2 linked regions of the Lonchura striata genome follow. The protein of the gene in region 2 binds, or shares a complex with, the protein of the main gene of each other region. Links are inferred from orthologs where the notes say so. Each region holds a gene or a part of one and is shown on either strand. Other genes may lie near its edges.

Region 1 (6,925 bases), on a different chromosome or scaffold from region 2:
GCAATTTCCAGCAGCCGGGGCCAAGGGGAGCAGACACTTGGGAAATGACAGCATTCCCAAAACTGGGTGGTGCACAGGGGCAGGCTGCACTGACTCCATCAAGCTGGGAGAAAGGACCAGCTCTCCATGTCTGGCCAGTGTCACCTGCATTTCCCAAAGTGTCTGAGTGTCCCAGAGCTCATCTGCCCCCATTCCCTTGGCTCCCTTTGGCAGGAGCCCACCCTGCAACCCCCAGCACCGGTCCTGGGCAATGGTGAGGGGGCTTGCACCACAACAACACCCACTCTCCATCTGTCTTCTCTCTGCAGACAGATTTTCTACCTGCCTGAACACCTACATGGTTATTCCACGTACTTTGAAATAATATATGGTCACCTTGCTATGGTCACACACCCCACTGTGCCAAAATTTGTGGCCACTTGAGAATCCCAGCAAACATTTCACCTCAAAAAAAGTTATTTCTGTGGTAAATAATTTGCTATTTTGAGATCCCAGCGAGGTCCCCAGAGTCCCTGTATGGCCCCTGCAAGTGACACTTTCACAGCACATGTTGCTGTGAGCTGGCGTGGGCTGGCAAGGAGGCCTCTGAGTGCTGCACACACCCTGCCAGCAGTGTTCTCCTGGAATGGATTTGCCAGCATCATCCCTGCCCTCTTCCCCAGGTCAGCTCTACTATATCAATGATTCACGTCTGACTCATGTCAGCTTCTCCACCCCTGCATTTCCTGTTTATTTTACATTTGTTTGCACGGTGCTCCTGCACCCTCTCAGGTGAGGCAGAGGGCAGTGCCCCTCACAGTGCTGCCAGCAGAAGGGCAGATGATTCTGCCTGGTGGGTGCTCAGCTCCAGAGGGAGTTGGGGATGTGGGGAGGGAGAAGCACAGAGCTCTCCCTGGCCGGCTCTGGCCACGGGTCCTGCACAGCTGTCCCACGGGTAGGGTGGGCAGGGGGGACACACCGGGAAGCTGCCCCGAGTCCAGGGCAGCCAAGAACCCCTTGCAGAGCTCTGGAGGCCGAGCAGAGGGTCCCTGTGTCCCTCTGGGGGCTTTGATTCTGCTGGGGTGGCTGCAGGGCTCTCTGGGGAGAGCTGGGAGCATCCCAGAGGTGCTGGTCCAGGCCCCTGGCAGAGATGGGGCCCCACTCCCACCTCTCCCACAGCCTGGGGCCCTTCCCGAGCCCGGTTCACTTCGGGTGGGTCGGAACAGCCCCTGCAATGCCCGGGCGAGTCGGGCACCGGCCCCAGTCGCGGCCCCGGAGGGACTTACCTTCCACCACGCCGCAGAGGAAGCGCGGCCGCTCCGCCATCCCCGCGCAGGAGCGGCCCCGCCGGCCGCAGGGTGCGCGGGGGGGGACGGAGAGATGCGCGGAGGGATGGAGGAGTGCGCGGAGGAACGAGGGGAGAGATGCGCGGGGGGATGGAGGGGGAGCGGGGGGATGGAGGAGTGCGCGGAGGAACGAGGGGAGAGATGCGCGGAGGAACGAGGGGAGAGATGCGCGGAGGGATGGAGGGGGAGCGGGGGGATGGAGGAGTGCGCGGAGGGATGGAGGGGAGAGATGCACCGAGGGATGGAGGAGTGCGCGGAAGGACGGAGGGCGCGCAGAGGTGGAGGGAGAGATGCGCGGAGGGATGGAGGAGTGCGCGGAGGAACGCGCGGAGAGATGCGCGGGGGATGGAGGAGTGCGCGGAGGGATGGAGGAGTGCGCGGAAGGACGGAGGGCGCGCAGAGGTGGAGGGAGCGCGGAGCGATGCGCGGGGGGATGGAGGGTGCGCGGGGAGGGATGAGGTGTTCGCGGGAGGGGATGGCAGGTGCGCAGGGGGACGGAAGGATGCGCGGAGGGATGGAATGTTTGCGGGGGACGGAGGGTGCGCGGAGGGCTCCGCGCAGGGGCGGCTCCACCGCCCGCCCTCCCCGGCGGGGACGCGCTCGCCGCAGCGCAGGGGGCGGCCCCGCGGGTGGGGCCGGGCCGCGGGGCGGAGCGGGGTGGGGGGGTCCCCGAAATCCGTGCGGAGCCCCTGCGAGGCGATGCTCCGGCCGCAGTCTCGGAGCCCGCGGACCGGAGCCCCCGGCGCTGCAGCCGCCGCCGCCTCCGGTGTCCACGGCAGCTCCGGTCCGCCACGTCCCCAACTGCGGGGGTCCTCCCGGTGGAGCAATCCCTTCTCCCGGCTTTGAAGCTTCCCGGGAGCCCCACAGCCGCAGAGTTGTTCCCGAGGGGTGGGGTGTCATTATCCTTGTGTTCACCACCGAGCTGGCACCTGCCCTGGCCACACCCTCATGCCAGGCCGAGGGTGCCATGCCTCTGCAGGTCGGTCCGTGCCCTCGGGCGGCCCTTGTGCCTCGCAGGGGACTCAGCTGCTGCCTGTGCCGGGCTGTTTGCCTTGTGCCGCCCTGCTCTGAGCTGCTGACGCTCGTCTGGCTCGTGGCTGTCTCTGCCACCCTGTCCTGCAGCTGCACAGCACAGAGCTCTGCCCACACACGGCCCGGGCTGTTTGACACCGCCGAGTAATCTTGTTCTTTTTCAGACCACTGGGCCTGTTTGCTGATGTCATTGTTTTGCCAGGGTTTGCGGTCTGATCTTTCGTCTGTCTTGTGCACTTTGTTATTGGTATTGCTGTGGTTACATCCCCTTGCTGTTTCTAGCACACTGTTCTTATCTCAGCCTGTGTGATCTTTACTTTTTGTGCCTCCAATTCTCCTCTCCATCCTGCCTCGGGGGAGGGTAGGGCTGTGAGCAATTGGTCTGGGATGTTTCAATGTGAGCACTTAATTGGGGAATGTCATTCCTAAACCAGGACGCCAGCACAATTATGGTACCGTGAACATGTGAAGGGTGATGCCAGGACAGTGCAGAGGGTCACCCCTGCATCCATCCAGGCACTGCAAAGCTCCCCTCAGCAGCTCTCCCCACCTGCAGCCGTTTCATCAAAACCACAGGTGGAGAAATGGGGATCAGAGCCTGGAAAACCAGGATCTGTGGCTTCTCCCTCTTCCCTTTGCAGGTTTATATTGTGTCAGGAAACCGAGTCATGATGCCTAGGCCATCAAAGCAGCAAGAAGCCCAAGAGTGTCTGACCAGCAGTGACCTGGCAGGGTCACAGTGCCATCAGAGTGCCACCAGGCTGGTTCATCCACGCTGGGGTGTGCTGAGCACAGGCTGTGCTTGTCCTTGTTCCTTGCCTCGCAGCCAGCACCTGTCCCACCTGCAGCTGGGAATGCTGGACTCAAGCCTGGCCCTGCAGGAGGCTTCTGGGGCACACTGGAGTGGCCAGCAGTGGCAGGGACAGTTCTGGGAGCAGCTTGGTGCCCCTGGAGTGGCTTTGGTGCCCAGGCACATGGCATGGTTGGAGGCAGGGAGATATGGATAGCATTGCCCCATCCACAAAGACAGAGAATGAAATCGTGCACGGCTGTGCATACACAGGTGTTTGCTGTGATTCTTCGCCTTCTCTGCTCTCTCTGCGAGCACCTGCCCATTCCACGATTTTCCTGAACTATGTGCTTGAGGTAAGCAGCCTCTAGTCCTCCCCTTCATTTCCTCTCCTGTCAAAGACATCACTCCTTTCCCCTGTGCTGTGAAACCTCACCTCTCCGCTGTCCACTCCCCACATTGCCCTGGCTTAACCTCAGCCCATCCGAGCGCGTCTTCCCGTCCCCATGGAGAGCACACGGCTGTGCCACACGTGTGTGCACACACCCAGGCGTGCACACACGCGTTCACACACGTGTTCACACGCACACACGCGTTCACACACATGTTCACACGCACACACGCCAGCACACCCCGCCCCTGACACGCTCGTCCCCGCCCGGTCCCCACCCGGTCCCCGCCCCGGTCCCCGCCCCAGCGGCGCGGGCGGAAGCGCTCGGGGATGGAGCCGCCGGCCATGGAGGGGCCGCTGCTGGTGCAGCACAGCCACAAGTTCGGCACCAAGGTGGGTCCTGGAATCCCTTCCTCCCTCTCCCTCTTCCTTCCCTTCTTCCCTTCCTCCCCTCCCCCGGGCCCGGCTGCGCTCCGGGGCCCCGTGCGGGGAGCGGCCCGGGCGCGGTGTGACCGCGCTGCCCGCAGCGCTGGAAGCGCGGCTGGTCCGCGCTTTACCCCGCCAGCCAGCACGGCGTGGCTCGCCTCGAGGTGTTCGACTGCAAGGAGCCGTCGGCGGCCGGGCGGGCGGGCACCCGGCGGCTCGCCCGCACCGTGGTGCGGCTCAGCGACTGCACCAGCGTGGCCCCGGTGGGCGAGGGCGGCCCCCGCGCCGGCACCGCCACCTTCCGCCTGGAGACCCGCGACCGCAGCTTCCTCTTCGCGGCCGAGAAGCAGCAGAGCGAGGAGTGGGTGGCGAAGCTGTGCCAGATCGCCTTCCCGGTGAGCCCCGGGCTGGGAGGGCCGTGCAGGGTGGCACAAGGACATCGGTGTTGTGGGGGGGACGCCTTCCCACCTGGCAGCCCAGGGAAGGACATCCTGAGGCAGCGCCTGTGGTCTCAGTGCCCGGCCCTGGCACTCCGGTGCCCTCTCGATGGCTCCTGCTGTGGTTTGTGGGACTTTCTCGGCGTGCTGTCAATAATTCGAGGTTGTGGCTCCGAATTTCAAGTCGGGCTCTTCTTGCCGGGTGCAGAGAGCTGGCAGGAGGCCAGCTGATGGCCGAGGAGCGTTTCCTCTTGGCCCAACCATTGCTGCCTTTCCTGCCACAGCGGCGGAAGCGGAGCCCCGAGAGCGTTGCGGGACCTGGCTGGTTCCAGGACCTGGAACCCCCTTTCCCAGCCTTGGGGCTCGCTCCTGGCTGCTGCTGTGGGCACCCCATCTGTGCTGGGGCTCTGGAAGAGCTGCCCAGCCCCCTGTCCTCTGCAGCCCCTGGAGCTGCTGGCCAGGCAGTGTGAGCAGCCAGGGCTGTTTGGGCAGTGTGCTAGAAACAGCAATGGGATGTAACCACAGCAATACCAATAACAAAGTGCACAAGACGGACAAAAGATCAGACCACGAACCCTGGCAAAACAAAACACCCTGACAAGTGTGGTTTTCTGTGCCCTCTGGGACAGCAGCCCACGCCTGCCCAGCTCCACAGCGCTGGCTCTCCCTCCTGGGAGGTGTTTGCAGAGGCCTGGGTTTGGCTTCAGCTGATTCCAGGCTTGGAGTGCTGGGCAGGGCTGCCTGGCAGGAGGTGCACAGCTGGTGATCCCAGGATCTCCCCTGAGTGTGATTTACCTTTGTCCCTTGAACGTTTCCCTGCAGTCTCCTGCCCAGCCAGGTGTGTCTGTGCAACAAATGCCAGGGCTGGGAGGGCTGGGAGGCACTGGTGGAAATGTCTCTGTGCTGCCTGGTGCAGTCAGGGTTGCAGCTTTTGCCTTGAAAGAGGCTTGTGGGGCTGAGCTGGGGGCACAACACAACCTTGGAGTGGGGCAGGGTGGTGGCCAGGCCAGGGAGCACCTGCCTGGAGCTCCCAGCCCCCACACAGGAACCGTGATTTTGTGTGCCTGAGGTCCAGAAGCAAGCTGGAAGTTTGGGAGGTTGTGAGCAAAAGGCTGCAAGGCTGGCATGTGTTTTAAAAAGGCCTGACCTGGAGCAGGAGGCACAAGAGCTGCACATGGCCTCTCTGCACGGAGCTGGAGATCCTCAGCTGGGATTGCTGATCATCTGCATGGAGAATGTGATTTTGTGTCATGTTCCTGCCCAGAGGGTATGCAGGGTCCAGCAGCTTGGGAGCTGGAGCCAGAGGTCATTTGGAGTTCAGAACAAATTTTTGAATTTCCTTTTGAAGATGAGGAGAAGTGCAGTCAAATGGAGACTTAGAGGCTTTGGCAGATTTGGTGGCCCTTGGCTTTCCAGTCCCAGGCTGGAGCCCTGCTGCATTGGATGCTTTAGCTGGGGAGGAGCTACTGCTATCAGCTCTCAGGACATGAAGTTTGAGGACCCAAACACTTGATGGCCCTTTTCTTGGGCCTTGTTTGTGCTTCTTGTTAAGAAGCTAATGTGTGTGAGTTTTAAACTGAAGCTGTGGCACTTGCCTTCTGCGAGATGCACCCTCTGCTGCAACCCCAAGGAAGCGCTCCGCACACTGAGCTTCCCTTGTGCCAGCTGCACAGGGCTGTCATTAGTGAGCAGCTTTTCTGCAGGAGGATCTCTGAAAGCACCGAGGGTTTGTGTCCTGCCCCAGGCCCTTTGGGGGCCCTGCTGCTGGGACACAGTTGCTGACAGCGTGTGTTGCGTTTTCAGTTCTGCTTGTGCTAAAATAGAAGCGCTCGCTTCCCCTCTGCAGGCTCCCCCTCCTCCTGGACAGGACACAGACCCCCGTGTCACCAGGCCATCAGTGCTTGGCATGGTATGGCCAGGAGGGTGTGTTTGGGTTGTGCCATGCTTTGGGGGCAGCTGTGCGGGCGCAGAGCCCAGCTGGGGACAGGGCGCTGCCAGGAGCTCAGGGAAGTCCCCCCTGTGCTGCCTGCCCGTGTTCGTGTGGGCTCAGGGGATTCTGTGGGCAGGGTGCAGGACAGCCAGGCTGTGTGGGGGCCCAGGCCTGGGGGCTGATGTGGGGAGAGAACTCTGGGTCTGATCTGCTCTCCTTTGCCAGGGAAATGGCCCCAGCGATGGCGTGGTGTCACAGTATGGCCGAGAGGGCAGCGGGGAGTCACCGGCCCTGGAGATGGCTGTGAACTCCATCTACTACTCCAGAGATGAAGGTGGGACCTGCTGCTGCCCTGATGTGGGGCCACCTTCCACGGAGCCTTGTCCTGCTGCTGCCCCATTATTGGGGCCACGCTGGGCAGTGCCTGTGTCCCTCTGCCCTGCTCTGAGCAGCCCTGTCCCCGCAGTGGGGCTGGCTGTCCCCTGAGCAGCTCTGCAGAGGGGCTGGCTGTCCCCTGAGCAACCCCGCAGTGGGGCTGGCTGTCCCCTGAGCAACCCTGCAGTGGGGCTGGCTGTCCCCTGAGCAGCCCCGCAG
Region 2 (7,173 bases):
AAATGAGCATCAGAACTAGCACATTCAACAGAAGTTTTATATCACAGCCAATAAAATAGAAAAAAAGTTTGAATAATCTGCATTCAAGAGCACATTGCTGAAGTAGAAACCTTATTATTTCCATTAGATTTCCCTTTCAATTTTAAAAAATTTGCATAGTGTAATGCTTACAAACTGCGTTTTATTCACTGAAAAGAAATTATCTTGTCAAAAGAATCCCCTTTAATTACAAAAATTACTTTCCAGACAAGACAATCCTACCAAGTCTTTCCCACAGGCACTCTTTTCTACATTTAACTGAACAAGGTCCTACTCTGATATCACTGAGCTTTCAGAATCAAAACTCCAGCACCAAACAGCCAGGCAGCATGACAAGCAAGTTAACACCCTGAAGTCCTGCAACTGACAAGATGCAAAACTTTTTCAAAAGACAGGTGCACACTCCATAATAAAACCCTGCCTTTCTTTTAATTGGTAAAAGAGACAGAAGCCTTAATTTGAGAAGAAACATTCCTTTTATTTTTGCTGGTTTTAGGCTACTGCACGTTAAGGACAGTGCATGCAGGAGACTCACACGTTGCCTGTGGTGCAGAAGCACCAAGGCTGTGCCTTTCTGCCTCAGAACAAATGGGCCAGTGTGCTTTATGCAGCCCACCAATACAAAATAACCAAACCTAATCCCTTCAACTAACAGCACGCTCACGGATTGCCCACGCCAGCTCACTCAGTAAAATGCCTCCGGGTTTGTTGAGAGCACGCGTTCTATGAACTACGGCAGTTTTAACCTCTCCAAAACCTTTCTATAAACCAAAGATGTACCAATAGCAATTGAGTGCAAGGGTATCCCTGCAGGTTAACTTTGGGTGGCAAGCCTCTATGATGAGGTCTTGCCCAGCTGAAAGAGATTCCTTCACACCACCTGGCAAGAGCACGCCAGTTATCACTGAAGAGACCCTGGCTTTCCCCCAGGATGGAGCCCACTGAAGTTTCACAGTGTTCTCCACGATAAGAATGCATCATCACTCCTGAGACAGCTGGGTTCCTAAACTGGAACTCTGTGCATGCAGGGGCTTTGCTAGTACCTCCAAGACACAATGCTGCAAACTCAGCTCTTACTGCATAAAAGCTAATTAGTGTCACACACCTCAACAATGTGAAGCAGTGTTTCTCTATCAACAGACACCCATAGAATATTGCTATGAATAATTCCTGAAATAACTATGAATACAATGACCCTAACTATAAATATAATGACCCAAAGCATAAATGTACACAACATTCCTTCCCAACAATTTTAGCAGAAAATAAGGAGAACCAAGTATTAAGCCTCAGTAGTCAAAGCTGCGAGCATAAGCAAAACATTTTTAACTTTAAGTATAAACAAGCAGTATACAAAAAAAAAATCTACTTGGCAGCCTACTCTACTCAAATAAATTAGCTCCTATAATATTCCTCCAAATATATTTTTGGCAGATCCAAAAGTTAACAATTTATGGCTACATTTAGTAATAAAAAGTCTTTGAAACTATTTCCAACTGCTGAGGTCTGATATTTAGGAAGGTTTAGATACCTGTCTTCAGTAAAGAGAACCCCTTTCCCATCTGAGAGTTTCAGAATGAAATTCATGTAAAGTTGTACAACTAAAAGTAAAATCAAATGGTGGTCCAACTGAAAGGGAAACGCTGCAAGAGGGGAAAAAAAAAAAAAAAAAAGCCATTTGAGAATGCAGCTCCAGAGTTCCTAACACCAGCTAGTTCAGGATGTGCAATAATCTGGGGTAACTCAGCATGAATTGAAGAAAACTCATCTGTCCAGCTTAAACAGAAATCACTGAAAATCATCTTCAAGCAAATGCATGTGAATCATTTTGGCTAATGAAAAGATAACCCTCAAGCCGAGAAACTTACGTAAATTACATTTCTCCTAATTCTGCCAAAAAACATTAAAGAAAATGGATTTGCCAAAGATAAAAGCAAAGTAGGCATGATAGATCATCCATTAGCAATACAAGTATGGCTAATTCTTCCTGACAGTGAAATGTCTTGGGATGCAACCCACTTTATTTTTTTTTTTACTAGATGAGTGTGTTTAGATGCTGTATATCCTACACATTTTATACCCTTATATCATAGACTTCACTACTAGTGAGATTTTACAAAAATCAGGCCTTAACAACAACCTATTAAGAAGAGAAAACATATGGGCAACTTAAAGTATTTCAGTGTAGTAAAAAAAAATTAAAAATTAAATAGGAGCTTTATAATATCTGCAAGTATTGCAAGTAGTTTAAAATGGTACAAATTAATACAGTTAATCTGAATTAATAACAAGAAGGAAAAAGTCACATGCTTATGAGGAATCACAAGGGCAGAATTAATATTGCACTCTACTCACTGTTAGAACAACTAGTGAAGTAGTTTGGGCTTTACTTTTTTCATAAATGCATTTCTGACGTGCAAGGTTGTACTGCATTCTCTAGCATACAACTTTTATTTATTCATGTAAACGTCAGAAATCCATCAGCAAACAAAGCCATATGGAAGAAAAAGAGATATAATGGATTTTCTGTTTGCTTTAGAAACTTGACATCTGCGGATAGCATCATCCAACTTACAATGCAATCACTATTCGTATTCTGGTCATTTTCATTTACCAATCCAAAACGCATTTTATCTAATGATACAAAAAGCTCTGGGAATAGGATAGCAGAGAAGAAATAATGTTTTAGAAAGTTAAAATGGGAATATACTTTAATATTTTCCCTTTCACATCATAAATTCAGAGAAAAGCAAACTCACATCTGTTCTAACTTAGCTTTTAAAAAACGAAGAAAACGCATCAGGATTATTTATATCTTGTCTGTATTTGTGGCAAGATTTTCGGGGCCGGAGCGAGCCGCGGGTGCCACCTGAGCTCCGCCAAGTTCCCGGGGGCCGGGCTCGCGGTACTTACCCCCGCAGAGCAGGAGGAGCCCGGCTGTCCGCGCCGCCGAGCGCATCTTCCCCGCGCGGTGCGGCCCCGCCTCGGCGCTCCGGGCGGCACCGGCCGGGCTGCCGGACGGTCCGCGGGTCTCAGTCGGGCCGGCCCATGGCCCGGGCCGGCGGCAGCACGGAGCCGGGCGCGGACGGGACAGCCCGCGCCGGGATGCTTCTCCGCCGCTCCTTCTCTCGGTCCTCCTGGCTCCGGTGCCGCCCCGCCGCCACCGGCCGGGAAGAAAGCGCCTCGTTCCCTCGGCGGTGCCGGCGCCTCTCGGGCTCTGCGGGGAGAGCGAAGTCAGGAGCGAAGCCTCCGCTCCGCCGCGCCCGGCGCCGAACCCCCCGCGCTGCCCGGGCGGCGGCACCGCCCGGCTCCGGCCAGCCCCCGGCCCCTCCTCCGCGGCCGCCGGGCCGCTCTGCCCGGGCCGCCCCGCCCCGCCCCGCCCGCGGAGCCTCCGCCGAGGGGCGGCCCCGCCCCGCGCATCCCCGCGGGCAAGGTGCGGGGCCGGGCACCGGCCCGCGTCCCCCGGCCCCGCGGGCAGCAGCGGGGAGCGGGCGGCAGGAGCGGGAGGCGGCGGCCTGAGGGAGAAGACCGGCGAGCCGCGCAAACACACCAGGTGCGAGACAAAGCGGGGACAGGCGCTGCGGCACCAGGATGTGCCCGAGTGGCCGTCTTCCCCGTCAGCCGAAACACATTAAACGTGTTGAATAATTAATCCTTAGGAGAGGAGACAGTTTTTGCTTGATGGTAGGAGGATGCTGTAGAAGATGTGCGCTACCTGGCAGGCAACCAAAGTAACCCGGAACGCGCGCGTCCCGCTGAGCGGCGAAACGCCACTTTTAAACCGCAAGCGGGAGGGGGTGGGGGGCGGGAAACCTAACCGAGCCAAAGCTGAAATACGCTGTGACAGGTCGGGCTGGGCGAGAAAAGCACTCCGAAAAAGCCGCCGCTCACAAACGCCGCCCCGAGCCCCGCCGCCGGCGCTGCCTCCGCCCGGCGGCCCCGCCGCAGCGCCCGGCCCGCCCGCGCCCTGCCCCGGCTGCCGCGGCCGCGCCGGAGCCGCGGGCAGCGCGGGATGGGCGGGCACAGCCTCCCGACACCCGCGGGCGCAGCCTCCCGACACCCGCGGGCACAGCCTCCCGACACCGACCCCCGCGGGCGCAGCCTCCCGACACCCGCGGGCACAGCCTCCCGACACCCGCGGGCACAGCCTCCCGACACCGACACCCGCGGGCACAGCCTCCCGACCCCCGCGGGCACAGCCTCCCGACCCCCGCGGGCGCAGCCTCCCGACCCCCGCGGGCACAGCCTCCCGACCCCCGCGGGCACCGCGCCCGCGCAGCCTCTGGAGGGGCCACGGCGACTGCCGCCTGACACAAACCCTGCCCCGCTCCCCGCACCTCTCCTGTCACGGCATCTTCAACCTGCCGAGGAGATATTTATTTTCTGCTCCTCTCCCGAAAGACGATGCTGCTTCCACACAGCCGCGCTGCTCCAGAGATCTGGTCGTCAGGATTCAGACACAGATCAGCAGCTACAGTGTTCGGCTTCACCAGCCTTCACACTCTGAAACGCCCAAGCAAGGTCAAGTAGACACACAGAGTAGATAACCCGATGCCGTTGCACCTAGCAAGAATTGCTGTAGATTATTTAAATATAAGTCAAAAAAGAAATTCTCTCTCTAGGTTAGTAAGGACTCTGCTTACAATACCTAGCACTTTAAGAGGCGAAGTACGAGAAATAGTACTACAGGAATAGTAAAAGAACTAACCTATTTTAACTTTTCTGTTAGATCTTCAAGTTAAATTTTCTTCCATGGTCTTCATAAGGCTTGGGAAAACAATAAGCCAAGTCAAAGCAACTAGAAGGGTAATAATGAATTTGAGATGAGCAATAATAACCACCATTAATTAATTGCTTTTGAAGCTGCCTGTCACATAGTATAAATTAAACTTTTGAGTACTTACTCACGTGTCAAGTGTTTGTGGGGCTTTTGCAAGTGCCTGAAAGAGGAAACTGAGAAGGTTACTTGGGAAGTCTTTGTGAACCAAATGAAAGTCTATAGCAAAGAAAGCAACACATAAAACATTAACATTAAATCAATGCTTTGTGGAGAAATGTCTTAGGTTAAGCTAAGCTTTATCTTAAATCATATTTAAAAGCTCGTGCAGTATACAAATCAATATTGATGCCATCTAAAATACACCACTATCATCTGCACTGATAAATGCCAGTTTTCATCCAGGACAAAGTGACTTCTTGGAAGAATTTCAAGGACTTACAATCTCTTCTGGCATCTCAGCAACTGAAGCCAAAGCTGTACTCTTCTGCCAGCTTCAGGCTCTGCTCCAGCACACTAAAACTGGTTTTAGATGCCATCATGTTCGTCATGCAAGGAACAGAAGTAAGGTCACCAGAATAATTTTTTCATTTGATTTCCAGGCTTTTAAGCTAAGCAGTTTTATGTGTTTTCAGAGAATTGTAGCTTACACACAACGCACCTGGAAAAAACTATCCAACTTGGATGAAATACGTGTGTCTTCTGTGTTCCAGCTACTGTGATCACGTCTCTCATGTTAATGTAGTCACCATTCTTCCTGAAACTGCTGTCCTTTATGTCAGCACTGGTATATTGAGGAAACATAGTTCAGCCAGGAATTATAGCCTACCATACAGAAGACAAAAATAACATAAGTGCAGCATCTCTCAAATCCTGGAAAAGCCTATCAAAATTGAGGCATTTTAAATTTTCCACTTGAAATTCAAACTTCAGGAGAAAAATCTTAAACCCTTCATGCCCAGCCTGGTTTCCACATCCCTGAAGAGGCCCAAGACAGGCTGTGAACCATCTGCCCTTGAGTTTACATGAGCCATACAAGCCTATAGCAACCATCTCTTTCCAACAGCTAACTTCTGCTGCACTATGCATAAAATACACTTCCACGTCATTCACTTGGTTTCTTTGTCTGAAGGCCTTTTGAAAACTGAATGAAAATCTGTGCTTGTAAATGGGGAATAAAAAAGCGAGGTGTCCTTAATTTCCCAGAAAAACTCAAGCTTTGCAGTGGCATCTCCCATCATTCTCCTAGCAGAAATACTTTGGAAGTAAATCAACACTTTCCTGCAGGCTAGTGCAATTGCAAAACTATGGCTCATACTCCTTCTCTTCCCCCCACCCCTCTGCTTTGACTCATTTATTTGGCACAGCAGGCTGAACTATTAAATTATTGTAGGTTTTCCTTTTATAAAGGCACCATGAGATGTCTCGATACAATAATGCTTCCTGAAACTGATGCTGATTGATAACTGTTTCTTGGTTTCATCACAAGTCTTATATCATGTTCATTTAGCATCAGGGCAGGACACTTCAGGACTCTTTCACCTTTCTATGTTTTCCAAACAGTCATGCACAAACACTGAAATATTTTCGGGTAAAACCCTTCCTAGGATATTGTATTTAAAATACAATTCTCGATCAGTTCAGGGCTTGAATACTTTTTTCCCCCATGCTATGAAGTTGGTTACTGTAGAAACTCAGTCTGAGATGCTGCTGTTGATCATGTAGGACAAAACTATTTTAAACCTACAAAAATGGGTTATTAACATTCAACACTATTTTGTGATCAAACTGTCAAGTCTTTCATACAGTTACAACTACGGTGGCACTAAACAGATATTCTTCCTGAGGTAGATCTAATAGTAAAAGGACAGATTAAACTTTGATCCTGACAGTGACAAAGAATTTATCTGCATGTCATACTTAAAGTTCTTATATACATGTTTTTCCACAATCCCTGGGCTTTATTTTCCTATCCTTCTGTCAATTTCTTTATTTTCTATTTGTTAGATATTGCTAACATATAAACTGCACAGTATCCATATTATCTATTTAATTTCTATCCACTTGAGAGCATCGAAAGAGCTAAAAGCTCTTTGTTTTCCCAAAATACTCATCCAAAAGTGCTATGAATTGGTCAGAAACACTGACTACCATGAAGAAGCAGCAAACTTGTGCTAGGAGATGTCTCCATCTTGGCACCTAGAGAAGGGAACCAAGAAGCTATTTCTTTCAAGTCAGGAGGAAAGAAGTCATACTTGTGGAGAAAGTGCTACAGACTGTCCTGATAACAAGAAGTTTAAGCAAGAGCTTAGGATTGTCCAATAAATAGATAGATTTCAAGGCAAAACCCAGATTCT

The links. The genes of interacting proteins can lie anywhere in the genome.
Region 1: the proteins of RET (region 2) and DOK1 are in contact, whole or in part, in a crystal structure (PDB 1UEF), measured with the Mus musculus proteins. The link is inferred for Lonchura striata from reciprocal best matches to the Homo sapiens genes RET and DOK1. Residues at the interface, in NP_033076.2 of Mus musculus: Thr1056, Trp1057, Ile1058, Glu1059, Asn1060, Leu1062, Tyr1063; in NP_034200.4 of Mus musculus: Tyr203, Thr204, Leu205, Leu206, Arg207, Arg208, Tyr209, Gly210, Arg211, Asp212, Ser217, Phe218, Glu219, Gly221, Arg222, Arg223, Thr230, Phe242, Glu246, Ile249, Gln252.

What each region holds. Positions count from the first base shown.
Region 1 is NC_134606.1:2,361,598-2,368,522, forward strand, and holds the start of DOK1 (docking protein 1), read left to right. Parts: upstream 1-3,868; coding exon 3,869-3,931; intron 3,932-4,065; coding exon 4,066-4,359; intron 4,360-6,556; coding exon 6,557-6,665; intron 6,666-6,925. Other genes in the region: protein O-GlcNAcase-like, read right to left, coding at 1,266-1,305. UniProt on the Homo sapiens protein: DOK proteins are enzymatically inert adaptor or scaffolding proteins. They provide a docking platform for the assembly of multimolecular signaling complexes. DOK1 appears to be a negative regulator of the insulin signaling pathway.
Region 2 is NC_134609.1:8,397,986-8,405,158, forward strand, and holds the start of RET (proto-oncogene tyrosine-protein kinase receptor Ret), read right to left. Parts: upstream 3,095-7,173; 5' UTR 2,999-3,094; coding exon 2,953-2,998; intron 1-2,952. UniProt on the Homo sapiens protein: Receptor tyrosine-protein kinase involved in numerous cellular mechanisms including cell proliferation, neuronal navigation, cell migration, and cell differentiation in response to glia cell line-derived growth family factors (GDNF, NRTN, ARTN, PSPN and GDF15).